Linked DNA regions of Caenorhabditis elegans. The protein of the gene in region 3 interacts with the protein of the main gene of each other region in a pairwise test. Each region holds a gene or a part of one and is shown on either strand. Other genes may lie near its edges. The genes, in order: Y105C5B.19, C06E1.1, lgg-2 and ZK1055.7.

Evidence for each region.
Region 1: the proteins of lgg-2 (region 3) and Y105C5B.19 interact in a two-hybrid assay, tested with the Caenorhabditis elegans proteins (one large-scale study listed by BioGRID).
Region 2: the proteins of lgg-2 (region 3) and C06E1.1 interact in a two-hybrid assay, tested with the Caenorhabditis elegans proteins (one large-scale study listed by BioGRID).
Region 4: the proteins of lgg-2 (region 3) and ZK1055.7 interact in a two-hybrid assay, tested with the Caenorhabditis elegans proteins (one large-scale study listed by BioGRID).

What each region holds. Positions count from the first base shown.
Region 1 is NC_003282.8:15,981,043-15,985,575, reverse strand, and holds Y105C5B.19 (Major sperm protein), read left to right. Parts: upstream 1-1,605; coding exon 1,606-2,268; intron 2,269-2,816; coding exon 2,817-2,954; intron 2,955-3,002; coding exon 3,003-3,236; intron 3,237-3,298; coding exon 3,299-3,395; exon of another isoform or gene 3,396-3,399; intron 3,400-3,484; coding exon 3,485-3,575; intron 3,576-3,620; coding exon 3,621-3,728; intron 3,729-3,774; coding exon 3,775-3,898; 3' UTR 3,899-4,001; downstream 4,002-4,533.
Region 2 is NC_003281.10:8,603,945-8,607,162, reverse strand, and holds C06E1.1 (HVA22/TB2/DP1 family protein), read right to left. Parts: upstream 1,332-3,218; 5' UTR 1,320-1,331; coding exon 1,194-1,319; intron 1,150-1,193; coding exon 1,039-1,149; intron 986-1,038; coding exon 737-985; 3' UTR 565-736; downstream 1-564. Other genes in the region: C06E1.9 (ASCC2 family CUE domain-containing protein), read left to right, coding at 1-242, 318-564.
Region 3 is NC_003282.8:10,933,632-10,937,507, reverse strand, and holds lgg-2 (Protein lgg-2), read left to right. Parts: upstream 1-1,604; 5' UTR 1,605-1,646; coding exon 1,647-1,752; intron 1,753-2,370; coding exon 2,371-2,539; intron 2,540-2,590; coding exon 2,591-2,744; 3' UTR 2,745-3,312; downstream 3,313-3,876. Other genes in the region: Protein adenylyltransferase fic-1, read right to left, coding at 1-36; lsm-7 (U6 snRNA-associated Sm-like protein LSm7), read right to left, coding at 3,398-3,503, 3,592-3,700, 3,828-3,876. UniProt on the Caenorhabditis elegans protein: Ubiquitin-like modifier involved in the formation of autophagosomal vacuoles (autophagosomes). When lipidated mediates tethering between adjacent membranes and stimulates membrane fusion. Less effective at promoting membrane fusion than lgg-1.
Region 4 is NC_003283.11:6,602,174-6,606,915, forward strand, and holds ZK1055.7 (Protein F37C4.5), read right to left. Parts: upstream 3,203-4,742; 5' UTR 3,201-3,202; coding exon 3,060-3,200; intron 3,016-3,059; coding exon 2,896-3,015; intron 2,851-2,895; coding exon 2,616-2,850; intron 2,563-2,615; coding exon 2,454-2,562; intron 1,998-2,453; coding exon 1,343-1,997; intron 1,056-1,342; coding exon 603-1,055; 3' UTR 563-602; downstream 1-562. Other genes in the region: ZK1055.6 (Protein F37C4.5), read right to left, coding at 300-431; gon-14 (HAT C-terminal dimerization domain-containing protein), read right to left, coding at 4,630-4,732.

The DNA.
Region 1 (4,533 bases), 5.0 Mb from region 3:
ATATCATTAAATTACTATTGAATAAGTAAACTTTTCTTGAAATCTTATTTCTTACTTGAAACAGTAATTTCAATTCTCGAAACGTAAAAAATTATATGATTTTTCCGTTTTTCCTTCATTTAAAATGATTTTACACCAAAAACAGTTTCATAAAGTTGTTTAATGTGTTCTAGAAATATCAATTATTTTATAAATTTCAAATCACTTTTTTGAGAAAAGAAATCTGAATTTTGTCAGAGATGTTTCAACTGGTTTTCAAAAGAAAAACTTGAGTAACTATTTTTAGTAGATAGATCCTTCGACCTTTCCAGTCGTTTTAACAGTGAAAAAAAAACCCGATAATCAACACATTATTCCACATTACTTGTGGGGTTTCTCAAGAACGCCTAACGCTAACGAAATATGAGCGCCCGACATCTACCGAGTTTCACTCACCTATATGAGATATAAATCAGTGCAGTAAAAGCTAATTTTCAAATATTTCCAATACACGAACAATAATGAAACTAGTCAGTTTTATAATATTAATTTCTGAAAATTTAAGCAGTTTCACAAATTTTTTTTCTTCGAAATTTCGACAAACTTAAAAGCATTATTGAATGATCAAATTTATCTAGTAATTTTAAGTCTACTTGAAACTGTAATTTCAATTCTCGAAATGCAAAACAAATTATAGGATTTCCGCGTTTTTCTTTCATTAAAAATCATTTATAGGGAATTATCTTTGAAAAAATAAACGTTAACAAATGTTCCCGAAACAACAGATTATCAGTCCAATAATATGTCAAGTTGTTCTTGGAGCTATGATTTGCAGTTGAAAAAGTGAAATTATTTTTATTTTCCCCAGCATTTTAAAAAAGTTACATCAATATTAAATACAAACTTGAAACAGTATTTTCAATTAATTAATTTTTTATTTTAATTTTTCTTTTATGCTTAGTTGTTTAAACAGTAGATGTTTTCTCTAACAGTTAACAGTTTTTTTTTAATATTTGCCATCTCTTTGTTGTGGGGCAAACGCTCGAAAAATTCAAAATTCTAATCAAAACCAATCAATAAACACTAAAAACGCTCCAAACCCCCCTCTCGTAAACCAACGTCCGTTGTCCTGAAACGTTCCTTTTCTCTGCGTCTCTCGTCATTTCTCTTACCACCACCTGCGTCTCTCACACTAATTCGGTCTCTCAACTCGCGGCGGGAGGCATTGCGCGCAAACAATGCTTCCCGTGCGGTGACGTTTTCGATTTTATCGGTTTTTATTTTGTGTTGTTTCTTGTTTCTCGTGAATTTTATATTGTTATTCACTAATTTTGAAAATTCGCGGTTTTTTAATTCAAATCTTTTTTTTAATTTAAAAAAAACGAGTGCTAGTCAGAAAGTCCCATTTTGCTTTGACCTTCAAAAAATGTGGGAGCAGCGACGCAGACATATCATCTGATTTTGCATGGTTTAGAGCGTGCTTACGTCACAATTTTTATGAATAAATATTCCCGCATTTTTCGTAGATCAAACCGAATGTGTGTACCTGACACCACGTCGATTATCACTATTGATTTTTTGAATTTTATTTGAACGCTCAAAATCTAAAAAAAATTCAATTTTCAGATGTCCCGCCGAGCTTCAAAAAGACCTGCTCCGTATCCACTCCTATGCGAACAAAAACCGGAAGATCTTCTAGTTGCTCCAGTCGAACATAAGGTTTACCAGGATTTTGAGCCTAAAAGACCCCGAGAATTTTCCCCCGTGATGGCTCAATCCCTTCCACCAGGAGAAATTGACTTCCAACCGAGCAAAATCATCTTCAATGCTCCGTACAATGAAAACCAAGAATCTAAAATCAAATTAATCAATACTTCGGCTCTTCGTATTGCTTATGGAATCAATACATATATGAAAAGACTCAGAGTTGATACGATGTGCACTCCAAATTGTGGAGTACTCGATCCAAGTGAGGAGATTCTTCTAACAATTTCCTGCGATGCTTTTGCATTCGGACAAGTAGATACCACAAATGACCGTATCACTGTCGAATGGACCAATACGTCTGAAGGATCCACCAAGCAGTTCTGTCGTGATTGGTTGGATGGAGATGGGATGGTTCGTCGTAAGACCCTTCCGATAGAGTACAGCTCATCTCCAATTGCTCAAACATCTTCGGCACCCCTTCTTCAGGCCTCTAAGCATGGGATGTGGTTGCCGATTGGATTCGCTGCTTCCGAATTGTACGATTATGCGAAAGGGGAACCATTGGATCGGAAGACTTGTGAGGTAGGTTTTGAGGGGATTATTTCTAGAGCAACTCGTATAGTGTCGGGCGCTGAAGTTCAGACGATTGAAATCTGATAGCAGCCAACATTGCACGGGCCTAGTTAGAATAACGAGTTTGCATGGCGAGACTTGTGAAATGTCGGTTTGCTTGTAGAAACAAAATCTCACCGCGAACTCCTCTAAAACTGCTTTTGCTAGCAGCCGACATTAAAACGAACGAACGGAAGCAGAAGTCGGTGCTTTACAGTATTGTTAAAGAAACTCGCAAAGTGTCGGGAGCTGAAATCCAAGTGCTTGAAATTTGATAGCAGCCGACACCACAATGGCCCAGTTAGAACAATATTGAATGTTGAGACTCGTGAAATGTCGGCTTGTTTATAGGAACAAAATATTACCCGTGGACTCTTTTAAAACTGCTGTTGCTAGCAGCCGACATTTTACGGGCCCACCACGGAATTTGCAGTCTAACTCGTAAGATGTCAGTTGCTTACAGTACATCATTGTAGTCAAGACCTTAGCCCTGCCAAATAAATCTTCAAATTTTTCAGAAAAACCTGGAGAAACTCATCAAAAATGACCGTGATGTTGACTACTACGAATGGCTCAATTTCGCCAAGCGGTGTCGAACACAAAATCAGAATTTGATGGAGGAAATGGCACTTGGAATGGCTTTCACTACGGCGATGGTGAGCAATTTCCAAAAGTTTCGAAAATTAAAAAAAATTCGCTTTCAGGCAAACAAGCAGCACAGGAAGATTTCTCGAAAAGCGGAGAAAATCACGGAACCGATCACAACGAACAAGGCATTCTCAATTGACTCAGCCGAGAAGTTTGACAGAGCTTTGACGTTGCCCAGCAGGAAATGGTTCATGATTTCCGATGTTGTGACGGATGGAGATGTGTCGAATTGGTCGACGGCTAACTTGGTGACTCTTGTGAGAGCTCTGGCGAGAACGGTTTTCGATAAGGTATGCTTAGTGGAGTCTTGCGTAGACTTTATAGAATCTTGCGTAAACTCCAAAAATTTAAGGTTGCCATTGCGGACCCCCATATGATGTGCTACGCAACTTCACAAAACGCTTCTACATATATTCCCATCGCTAGGGACTTTTTCGAAGGGTTTGCTGGTTAGTTTTCCACACGTTTCACCAAAAATTTATAAATTCTTTGAAACAGTAGGAAATTTAATATTAAAAAAACCATGTTCCTCTTCCAGAGTACATACTCGGTGGGTTCGGCGAAGAACAATCGCGAGACCTGAAGTTTCGAGTGAGGAAGCTGGTCACCGACGTTATGGGCAATAAGTTGTGAGTTTTACTGTCTCAGGGCTCAGTACTAAATTTATTTTTCAGAGACCGTGTGAGAGGCCGCCACAACAAAATGTATGGAAACGAAGCAAGTGAAGATGCCACAAGATGGCTCCGAGAGCAACTCCGCAAGGAGGATGGAGAGCTCAAAGAGTTTGTGATTTCATTGAGTTTTATAAAAATCGATAATTTTTTTCAGATCCCGACTAATTTTCCCAAATGGCTCAGAAATGATGTGTAACTATCAGGTAAACGAAGAAAACCCAGAAGGAAGTATAAAATCAGAAATTTTCAATGACGAAGAGGAAGTGGAAATGGAATAATTTGTTTTTGAAATTGTTATATTTTGTTGACTTTTCTATTAACTTATGTATTTCAATTCTGAAAAAAAAACATTTCAGCTGTCTATATAAAAGTTTTTCCAGCGCTCCTCTCATAGTTCTCAAGGTTTCAATAATTTGAAAATTTCAAATTTTTACTGTTTCAATGTGTTGTGAAACATGAGCTAAAATTAAAATGAAATGTTAGTCCCATAGTAAAAAGTTTTTGTTGTGAAATTGCAGTCCCGTGCAATTTTTGGCTCTGTTCGAGATTTTCTACTATATTTCCAGCCACAATTTGTAGAGTCGCATATTACTTAAATATAAATTAAAAAGAATCAATAATAACTGTTTAAAAAATAGTTTTGGGTCAACAGTGAAAATTTTACTGCGCAGAAAACTGTTGCTCACTTCAAATTTGAGCACAAAATCTATAAAAATTGTTTCATGGTGTTCATTTATTGGAACTGTTAGCATCAACATGAATTAAATTTATTGATCTCAGAGATCATCGGCTCAGATGATGTTCAACTCCAACTTTAAAAAGATTTCAGTGCCCTTAAGTACTTTAGCATTTTTTATAGCTCTTTTCACTTTTATAGTTGGAAAAAAAGTTTGAACATATAGTAAATGCGCCA
Region 2 (3,218 bases), on a different chromosome or scaffold from region 3:
GCTGGACCCTCATCGCCTTCTGAAAAAATTGCTGTTGATGCTGAGAATCTTGTTCCTCTTGCGACTTCGAAAAAGTATTCGGCATTGAACTCCTTAAAAATCAGTGAAGCAGATAAAGTGGCAATTCGGCCAACATATAATAAGTATCGTTACGAGACCCCGAATGATGGAGGAAATGGAGTTTATGATGATGAATACGATGATGAGTTTGATGGAAGAGAATTCAATATTGAAAGATTAAAGTTAGTTTTTGGTCAGATTTAAATTCATATTGCACTGCAACTTTTAAATTAAAATCATGAGAATATTAATTTCAGCCAAGAACTAGAAACATCGTCAGAAGAGGATGAAGCTGGATCTTCTGCACCACCTGGTTTATCTCAACCACCTCCATATCAAGGATCCCGTGGTGGACGTGGAGGTCGTGGAGCCCGAGGTGGCAATCGTGGTGGAGCCCCATCTGCAGATGGATATACTGGAGGACATGATCGTCAAATGAAAGAGAAACACAAGTCGGATATCAAGCAACGTGGAGCTGATAGAAAGAAACGAGGAGTTTATTGAGAATTCGATTTACAAACCAATGATTTCTTTACACTTGTGATAGCAATACAATTCGGTGTAAATTTGGCTGGGTGATAAATAAATTATATCAGTTTAAAAAAAAACATGTTCAAAAAAAAATCCCGTGCGTGTCAAAGTGTCAGTTCCGTAAATTTCCATAAATTCAGAGAGCTCAGTTTTCCTCCTCTCCAGGCGGCGGTGGAGTCACCAGAACCCATGTTTCGGTGAATTTCAGAGCTGGCTCAGACCATTCCTTGAGTTTATCGAAGCCATTTGTGGTGATCGAGAGGAAGAGCCCGGTTTTAGCGAAGTAATAGAATGGGACTCCAGGAAGAGCAGAATAGTCAAAAAGTGAAACCATTGCATAGAGAATCCAATAGAGGAGAATGTTGTCTGATGGATTCTTCTGTTGGCGGAGGATCTGTAAGAGTGTTCAGTTGATTTCTAATGAAAATGAAGATAGTTGAAATTTACCATGAAGCTCTCTTTGACTGGCCAGAAGATGCAAATGATATGAGAGAAGAGTGGGAGGAAGTTGCCGAGAAGAACGTAGATGGAAAGCATCAGGAATGCCATTGAGACGATCTGAAAACAAATATTGTTTTTAATTAAGACATTATATAACCTACTCTTTCTCTTGGAATTCCAGAAAACTTTTCAGCTTGAGTGAAAGTCTTTTCTTTCCAGTCTTCCTTGTTTCTTGCTTTCAAATACTCGTTGATTTTTGACTCGATTTTTGCAATAATTGTCGCCATTTTTGAATATCTGGAAATTATGTAATGTGGGAAGTCGCGCTCTACCGAACTATTCAACATTTTCGAAGATTACATAATAAGAAAAGACTGATCAAATATCAAGAAGGAAGTTAAAAAGAGAGGAAACGATGAAATGTGAAAATATTAAAGTCACATAAAGCGAGGCGAAAAACAAAACGAACGATAAAATAATAAAAAGGGATGGAAAAGTGAGGAACAAAAGACGGCAAAGATGAGAATCAATTGCAAATCGTGGCTTTTTATAAAATTATGCATGCAATAATGATTAGTCGGTGAGAAATTGCGAAACTATTTAAAAACCGATTACTTTTTTTCTTCAAAAAAGTCATGGTCAGTTTTCGTTATTTTGATGGAAAGTTTGCTGGGTGGTAGGACAGCAAAGACTCTCGTTTTCTATTTGTTTTAGATATCGTATGAGTCATACAATTAGTTTTCGATAAGTTGAGATTTTATCATAAAGCCGATAAGCTTTAATGGAAACTTTCAAAAATTAAACTTATTTTCCAAATGTAAATGTATAAATGTTTCCAGAAATATATCGGTTCTAGCTCGCAAAGACGAACAACAAAACAAAGAAATGAGCATATTTCTGCCATTTGCAACATACAAGAGAGGAGCAGATGGAACGTTTTCACCTGAGCACTGCACTCTCTTAATCTACAGTACTATCTCACTCAATTATATAGAGCAAATGATGCACAGACGGATTATAGAGGGACCGTATCGATTGGTATCGATACGAACGAAGAGAGAGACCGCTTGTCTACGTCACTGCCTACCAAATAGCTCCGGCATAGGTCTGTCTTTGTACCTACTTGGAATGCCTGAAAGATGTGCAAAAAAGAGAAGAACACTGGAATATTCCAGTTCTGACAAAACATTATATTAAAAAGAAGACATGTTTTTCAAAATATGTTACTCAAAAAAGTTTCATAAAAACTATGTAGTGAACTGAAATAAACGCTTCCAGAGTTTGTTTGTTGCATTCTTGTCGATGCACCATGTTTCTCTCAACTTTGACAACTGATATATTGACCATCTTTATTAAAAAAAAAAAGTTTTCTCAAAAATTGTCAACTATCAAACTATTTCAAACGATTTATGCTTTTTTCTATGAAATAGCAGTTTGAAATTTACTGAAATTTTTAAATTGAACCGGCATTTCAGTTCTATGAAATAGCAGTTTGAAATTTACTGAAATTTTTAAATTGAACCGGCATTTCAGTTGCCAAATTTATACCATTCTTTCTTGTCTATGCACCATGCTTGCACAAAACTCAAACAGCTGATATCTCGGTTGGAATTGCCTTCTCCATTAGAAATTTAACACCAAGGAAGATGGTGTCTGAATTTTTTAAATAGTTGGTTAGATTGGTGAACAGCGAAAAATTACAATATCTATAGCGAACAGAATCATTTGATAAACATACTGCAATTACAGGGGCACAAATCACAGGGGGACAATATGAATCCTGGAAATAACTCGAAAATTCGATTCTTCAATCTACAGTAATCTTTTGTAGAATTTTGAATCAAATTTCACATGTTAATTATCTACAAAGCTAATATTTCAATAAAACTATCTATAACCCCAAAATCATTCCCTTTTGCATGATCACAATTATGTGACGTATCCAATTGTGTCATCCGTTTTTTGAGATTTGGAGTTTATAGTCAAATGAATTCAGATCAAATCCCGTTTATTTGCCCGTTTTTCAAATACAATATTCTGTCAAAATCCCGACGTATTACCTCCAAACCAACATCAATATACATACGTTTTCGCTACAAAATTTCTGGTGATTTTTATGGAATTTTCCCACGAGTTTTCTCCAAATTGCTTAGTGAGCTACAGAAAAAAAACGAGAGTTCGTAAAA
Region 3 (3,876 bases):
GAAATCATCGGAATGAGTTCGTCTTCGAACTGACATCACATTATTTAAAACTATCTGCAAAAAAACAAATTTTCCAGAACTTATTCATGCATTTGAAGCGAAAACAAGAAAAAAGATCTGCAAATTAATTTTGAGCATGATTCCACCTTTCGCTTCGAGACCAGAGTAAAAAAACGTTAATGCGCCTTTGAGTTACGGTAGTACTGATTAATGGTTTGAACACCAAATGCATTTTTTTTCGATTTTGGCATGTTTTCCTTCTTTTTTTTCAAGTTATATCCGAAAAACCTAATTTAAAAAACTGAATAATCTTTTATCTAAATATTAACCATATAAATATCGACATTCCACTCGATTTCACAAGAAATTTCTTCATCTTTGAAGTTCGTACGCGGAAAATGCTATTAAAGAAAAGAAAATAAACGAGACGCAGACAAATGCACACGGCGTGCGCAGTAACATATCGATTTTGAGACGTAAACATAATTGAGTTCACTAGTCATGAGAGTCTGTTTACTCGTACATCGATTTTTCACTTTTCTTTCTTTCCCCTCATCACTTATTGTTTTGCTCTTTCCATAGTTTCGTCCTCATCTCAAAACTTCTTTCGAAATTATTTAGATACCCGCATTTTCAACAACGGAAAATCTAAGGAAACCCTTAAAATGTCAAAAAAATATCGCAGATTGCCAATTTTTGCTGTGAAATCTTGATCATATTTCATCACTTCTCCCTTTTTCGAAAATCGCGTCAAAGATCTAAAGTTCCGAGAAAAAAGTTTGCAGAAAAAAACGTCAGTTGTTCTGATTGGGAGTAGTAGATTCAGACTGGAAGTTCTAGAGATCATCTGGTTCCCCTGCCCTTTATCTCTCCCTGCCACTATTTTCAAAGTACAAGCACTTTTTTTACGTAGACCGATATAAAAGAGTTGGCTGGTATAGATAAAATCTTTAGTTTTCCGTTAATTTAAACGGCCCATTTTAATATTAGAAATTTTCATTCATAAAACCAAGCATTTTCACACTAGAACATTAGTTGAGAAGTTTTCTAGGAAGTATTCAATTAAAACGTTTTCTCCTATAACTTTCTTAGTGTCGCCAACAAGTCTCGCTGTCATATTTATTTAATTCGTTGCCACTCATCGTTTCAAATTTCGCTATCATTTCATCTGTCTGACACTGCTTCGAACTTCTGTATTAGCTGGGAGAAGGGTCATAATACACACTCTCATCTTCTCTAACTCTATTCTTTCTTTTCCCCATCTATTCCTTCATCACATGATTCTTCTCTTCTCATCGTCTCTCCGTCTCGCGGTCATGTGTCCTCGACGCTCAGTCGATCTTGTGGTGTGAGAAAAGAGAGTAGCATCAATGAAGAGACACAGAGGACAAAGAGACATACAGCAAAAGAGCGTGTGTGCTGCCTACTGCCTCTGTCTCGATTTTTCCCTCTGTCCCATTCCCTTTCACCTGTCTTTTCGCTTCTTGATAAAAAAATTCTCACAAAAACATACAGTGTCCTTTAGCATCTCACACTCTAATTTCTCTTCTAAAATCAGTTTTCTCAACTTTTCAAATACCAGTTACCATTTTTCAAGTTTGCAGATCGAAAATCGGGTCTCAGCACGAAAAAGTGAAGAAGCGTTTATGCTAGCCACGCTTCAAAGTTACACACAAACAGCGATGAGCGGAAATCGGGGAGGATCTTACATTTCCGGAATCGTTCCATCGTTCAAGGAAAGAAGGCCATTCCGTAAGTTTTTTAAAATTCATTTACTAATCAAACAATTGTCATCAAAATAAAAATAGAGCTTCAAGTCTCACTTTAATTTTACTTTAACATCAAACATCTGGTTTTCATCCCAACCAATTCATTCCCAATCATTCCCACTTTTTTTTCCTTCACCCGTCCATTGTAAAAGGTCAGAGACGCAGAGGACAGACACCCCGCGTCATGCGTTTCAGCGAGAGAGCATGAGGAAACAAGAGACAATATGCAAGTGAGACATGTGAAAATCAGCTGATCTTGTGTGAATGAGTGACTATGTCAGTGGAGCAGCACCCATGGAACATTGCGTATTAATTGGGTGCTCTTCGTTGTATGAAAGAAAGAGATAGATGGACCTGAGAAACAAAGATCAATAGGGCAGGTGCAAGGGAAATAGGATTATAGGAAAATTTGGATCAATATTGATATTCTAGAGTTCAAAATATTGCCCACCATTCAAGATAACAACCAAAACTGAACGTACGCCAATCTTTAAATAGAAATATGAATTTTACGAGTGGAAAAGAGAAATCCAGAACTGAGGAACAACTTTTTTATTTTCAAATTTTCGAAAGAAAACCTTTTTAACCTATTCGATTTCAGATGAGCGTCAGAAAGATGTGGAAGAAATCCGCAGCCAACAACCGAACAAGGTTCCGGTAATTATCGAAAGATTTGATGGAGAACGCAGTTTACCACTTATGGATCGCTGCAAATTCCTAGTACCCGAGCATATAACCGTTGCCGAGCTCATGTCAATTGTTAGACGACGGTGAGCTATTCAACTGAGTTGTTTTTTCAAAATCATCCGTTTGCTTTTCAGCCTCCAACTTCATCCACAACAAGCATTCTTCCTGCTCGTCAATGAACGCTCAATGGTGTCAAATTCTATGAGCATGTCCAATTTGTACAGTCAAGAGCGTGATCCAGATGGCTTTGTGTATATGGTTTACACGTCTCAACCAGCATTTGGATAACACATCAAGAGCCGTTTTCCATCACAATTCTAATCAATTTTTAAATTTCCACCAACACCACTGATTGCCCAATGCAATCCTCACTGTAAAATGTTGTATTTTTAAATGTAAATACCTGAAAACCCATCATACTCAGGCGCCAACCATTTTTCTAGTTGCCTTTGCTAATTTCGCCCCTCGCAATTCCCCACCTCAAAACTTCCAGCTGAAATTTGTTTTACAAACGAAAAAAAAGAAACCCAAATTCGCTTACGTTTTCGTGTAGTCTTTATGTGTTCCCTCATAACTCTTTCTCCGCATTTTCCAGCCCGTTTCTTGAATTTCTTCATGTCTTCTTTTCACAACTGATCCTCTTTCAACAAAATTTAAACCGTTTACGATTCTGTGTACTTGGCTAGTCTCTAAAGCCCATAGGGACTATTTTCCTTACTGCCCTGAACATTGAAATTTACCGCTATGGACTTTCTGACTGCCTAGACGGATTCAATTCAAAATTATTACATCTTGTTCCATCGTTACTTTTCCAAATTCAATGTATCAAATGTTTTGTATGTAATAACAACTTTTTCGTCGTTTTTATCTGGAGAATGTTCATTCACAAGGAGATCACATACATATATAATAATAATAAGAGATGATGATGATATCAACGATTATTCTTCTTCCTGGGTTGCGAATGGATTGGCGATTTGCTCGAGTCCATCTGCTGGGCTAACTACTGTAATTGCTGTTCCGCGAGCCACAATAAGACCCAGTTGTCTTAAGATAAAAGATAAGATAAAATCGAAAATCTAGATTTAATTTGAAATCCAAGCTTTAAATCGATTTTTGGAAATCTATCAATTACCTTGTCTCATCACCGACGACCGAAGGATTTTGTGGATCACGGAGATACTCGCGGCAGTCATCAAGAACCATATTGAGCAACTGATCGAATCCTCGAAGCACGCCACTTGCTGAAATTTATACATTTTTATGGAGTGAAGTACAGCTTGTGTATGTTGGACGCTTTCATATTGTTTAAATAGTTTAATGACGGAATCTTATTGCTAGTGCACATCATTGTGCAAAAAAAAAACCAACCTTCACGTCCTCCTTGGAACTTGACGCGAATCTCTTTGTCGAGAAATCT
Region 4 (4,742 bases), on a different chromosome or scaffold from region 3:
TTGCAAAACTATTATTAGTTCTCCGCGTAACCATTTTGATACACCAAAAAGTCAAAATTTTTGCAAATTACCAGCATTTCAAAAGGTTTCAAAAACAATTTCAAAATAATGTTTAAATGTTCTTTTTAATATTTATTTTATTTGGCTCATTTTTACTATAATTTTTTATATACAACTTTTTCAGAAAGATAATCTACACAAAATGAGTTTTATATTAGTCTTTGTATGTAAATTATTCAAAAGTTGAGATTTAAAGTGTTGGAATTTCAATAAAATGATTTTCAAAAAAAGAAACTCACTTTTAAACAAATCTCACTAACTCCCGCTTTCAAATTAACTGGTACCCGTCGTTTCACTTCAGCTCGGTCACTGAGAATTGTAATTCCACTGATTTCCTGATTTCGAATGTCAAGTTCGTAAATTGATGCCATCTATAAGCGTAGATTATTCGATGGGCATATTATAACTAGAGGTGAAGAAAGTGCAAAAAAAACATTAAAAAAATGAAAACCGATAAAACGGAAATGGGAAAATTGTAAAACAAAAATTTCTGTAAAAGATAGACGACTTCATTTAAGTATCAATTCACTGTTGGATGTACTTTAGAAATTCTCTTGATATTGAACAGTTTCATCTTTTGGATGCTCCACCACATATTTGATGATCAGATCCTTTGAGCTGCTCGGAGCCAGCTTTATAGTCCACTCCAAGTGATTGCTGGAATTGAACTTTGCCCCTTCCACAGGCTCAGAATTCTCGGCTTCAGTGCCAGCCTTCTCCGCATCATATGGCGTAGCTGCTGGTGAAACTAGCTTCACACGGATCTTCTCGTCAGTGCTACGTGGAATCGCATGCTTCACGGTTAGGAGCACCGGCTGCTCATTTCTCGTATTTTTGATGGAGATTGTTTGCTCCGTGACATTTGCAGAGTGCTTGGTGATGTAACCTCCTTCCTCATGGTACTTCTTTGCCGGCTTGTACTCCACACGAATTGCCGTGTCAACTCCCAAAGAGCAAGTGAGTCTTTCACCTGGTGACACGTTTTTCAGGTGACTCTAAAAGTTGGATTTTATTAAAATATACTCAAACTGATTCAATGAGACTAAATATTTTCATATATCATTCATTATACAATGTTTTAGAGGTTTAATGACTTCTAGTTGAGTTTTGACAAATTTCCAAGTTTTGAAATTTTCTTTTTTTTTGTTGAAAGATTCAGATCATTCTTGTATGTTCAGAGTGAAACAAGATTGAATCGATAGAAGAATTCTTACTATTAAAATTTGGTTATTTCAGCAACTTAATTTGTTTTAAATCAATTTTCTCAACAAAAAAATCTTACTGTTGCGACAAATGCATTATTCAGATAGACAGATGAAAATCCAGCCAGGAGTGCAAGTTGAGAAGTATTAACAGCAGAAGCCGTGAGAAAAGCTGCAGCATTCTTACTTGGAACGGATTCATGAACAAGTTTTGGTGTAAGAGTCACAACTCCAATAGTAACTTTGTGTTCATCAGTACCGTGTGGAATTGTTGCTTCTCTGAGAATTTTAAATTCTGTGCTCAACGTGTTTTGGGTGATTTCTGAAGCAACAGCGACAGCCATTGGTGGAGCCAAAGTCACTTCATCTGAAAATCCGAGTGTTTCGGCTCGACGGTTCTGCGGTCCCCGCGCCCCAAATAATGAGGCTGATGCATTCATCGATCTTGTTTGATAATGTTGAACTTCAGGACGACGGAAGGTTGCTTCGAGAGTTCCAAGATCTGGAATTCTGCCAGCAAGACATGGCTGAGCAGTTGACAAAACAAGTGGTGCAGAAGTCCAATCTTCCTTTGTGAATTGACGGATTTTTCCAAAGTATGTAATGCTCATGGATGGTTTCTCTGTGTCAACTCGGATATCGTATGATGGATGCCACGAAGCATCTAACACTTGATAGACTACATTCAGCTCAGCTTCCAGGTCTTCTGTGCATTCCAAAGTAATTGTGGCAGTGCTAAAATTAAGTTATCAATTTGTTGGGAAGATAGGCAAACAGTGATCTTAAATACTACAGCTTAACAATGTCAAACAATAAGACTCAAAAAATAAATTGTTTCTAGAAATAGATGGAAAATCATATGGAACTTTTCTTTATAATATTTCGAATTTTTATTAGGGTTGGATGCTTTTTTGCATATCTTCAAATCTATCTGTAATCCCATTTGTATTTGAAAATAAATAGTGCATAGAAAGCAAAGCATAGCTCATTGTGCGCCTCAAATTTTTATGGGTTTTTTGATAGTTTTTCAAATTTTTTAAATGATTCAAAATTTGGTATGTTGCCAAAAGTTTGAGTTAAGATTAAGAAAGATTTGAAAAGACATATAAAGTTGTTTTTGCCCCATTTTTAGTATATTTTGGTAAATTCCCCGACTGGCACAATTCCACCTTAAACTTTTCAAAAACTCACTGAGAGAACGCTTCTTCATTCAAATTGTGCATTAGAGCTCGTAACTCGTTTTCCAGTTTCGAAACTTTTTCCTGTTGCTCACGGTGTCCAGCTTCAACTGATCGTAGTTCTAGAAAAAAAAATTAAGTTTTTTAAAATCTCAAATTTATCGTTTAAACTCACTTTCTCTGTATAATTCGGAGTTGCTCCCATAGAATTGGAAGAAATTTGTAAGACTTTCCAAAGTTCCTTCATTTAAAGAAGCAACACCATCTTTTGGTGGATTCACGAGACCCCCACCAACTTGTTCGAAAACTTTGTCCAAATTGTCAACGCATTTTTGGACAACCGTTCCGCGATCTGTGATTTTTTGGAGGCGATTTTTCTCCTCTAGAATGGCAGCTTTGAGATTGGTGATCTTAAAAAAAAGAATATATTTTCGAATTTTAATTATCTTGCCAACCTTTGGAGGATCAGCTTCAGTTGGCAAACGAGAAACATTCTTAATAACTACATCATGAATGATTGCATTTCCTCTTCCTTCAACTCTAATTGATCCTTGAGCCATTGTTTTGCAGAGGTTCTAAATTCAAAACTACTTGAAAAACTTGTTCATATTCTACAAACCTTGAGAACAACTTCATTGACACCAGATTTCAATGAAACTTTGACAAGACGACGGATTTCAGCTCTATCAGTGAATACTTTCACCTCGGCAATTTTAAGATCACGAGTCTCGAACTCGTGGACAGATGGGTTGGTGGTCATTTCTGAAAATGACTCTTTTTAAGAGGTGTGTATTTTCAAATATTAGGAATTCTAAAATAACGAAAGTATATATCACGAATTGTTGTTAATCATTAATATCGCTGCATTTCTAAGAATATATAGATTTACGGACGGTGATACAATCTTAATGTTTACTGTAGAAAATCTGGCTTGAAGTTAATTTATTCAACATATTGGTTTGGTATTTTTCTAACTGGTCGTACATTTCTACATTAAATGAACCAATGCATGAAATTTGAAGCTTGTAGCGATCACTATAGCTGAGATCGTGGCGAGACCTACACAGAAAAATAGTGTGCGCCTTTAAACTGAATTTTAAAATTTCAACGAATATACGATATACGCATGAGAGATTATAGCAGTAGTTGTCTAAAGACAAAGATATTTTTAAAAAACATCTGTATTTTGTAAATATTATTAATGTCATATTTGACGCGCAATATATCTCGTAGTGAAAACTACAGTAATTCTTTAAAGGACTACTGTAGCGCCTGTGTCGATTTACGGGATCATTTTGACTTATCATGTAGATATAATTTATCATATTAAGCAAAAATGAGAAAATAATACGAAGAAACGAAGAAAAATAGAGTATCGCTATTTATCACTATTCGAGAATAAATACGTTTCAAAAGTCGAGCCCGTAAACCGACACCACAGCTACTGTAGTTATTTAAAGAGTTACTGTAGCCTTCGCTACGAGATATTTTGCGCGTCAGATAGTCAGATAGCGCATTACGCATTTTCATAATTTTGTGTTGTAATAAATTCAGAAACATTATATAAACTGAAATAACACACTGAAATTTCCAAAACTAAAAAACGTAAAGTTGAATATTCAAAACTTTTCGAAAAGAAACGCGACGAGATGACTAAATTTCATAACGTTGATATCAGTAAAACCTTCAAATCATTTCAAAGAGAGGAAACTCTCTATTTATACCAAAGAGACAGAAAATGTTTCGCAATGTGTTTGTGCTGACTCATTGGAGACTTAGATGCAGAAAGGAAAACGCGATAGGATAATTTTTTTTTTTTTTTTTTCACATAATAATTCACAAATTTTCGAAACGTTTTTTTTCTCCCAAAAATATGAAATACCAGTCAGAGGGTATGCAAAGTTTCTTGCTGGGTCAACAATTCAGAAATGTCAAGGTGAGTTGGGAATACAGAAAAAAAGAAATGATAAGATACTCTTCAGAAAAATTGAGAAAAATAACATGATTGAGAACTATTAAACAGAACAGGGAAGTAAACTGGTCGATGAGAAAAGAAAACGTTAGCATAGTCAATTTGAAACAACATGCGGATATATCGAAACAAGTAGCATAACAAAAACAAAACAATGAAAATACCAACTAGTGACAAATAACTAAAGTGAATTGAGGTACAGATGTATGAGCTGGGATTATTGTGGAGGTTGATGTAGCTGATGGGTAACACCAGTTTTTGTACGAATGAAATACATCTTTTTCGATGCAGTCAGAGGAGTGTTTAAGTTGAAGGAGACTCTGAAAAGTT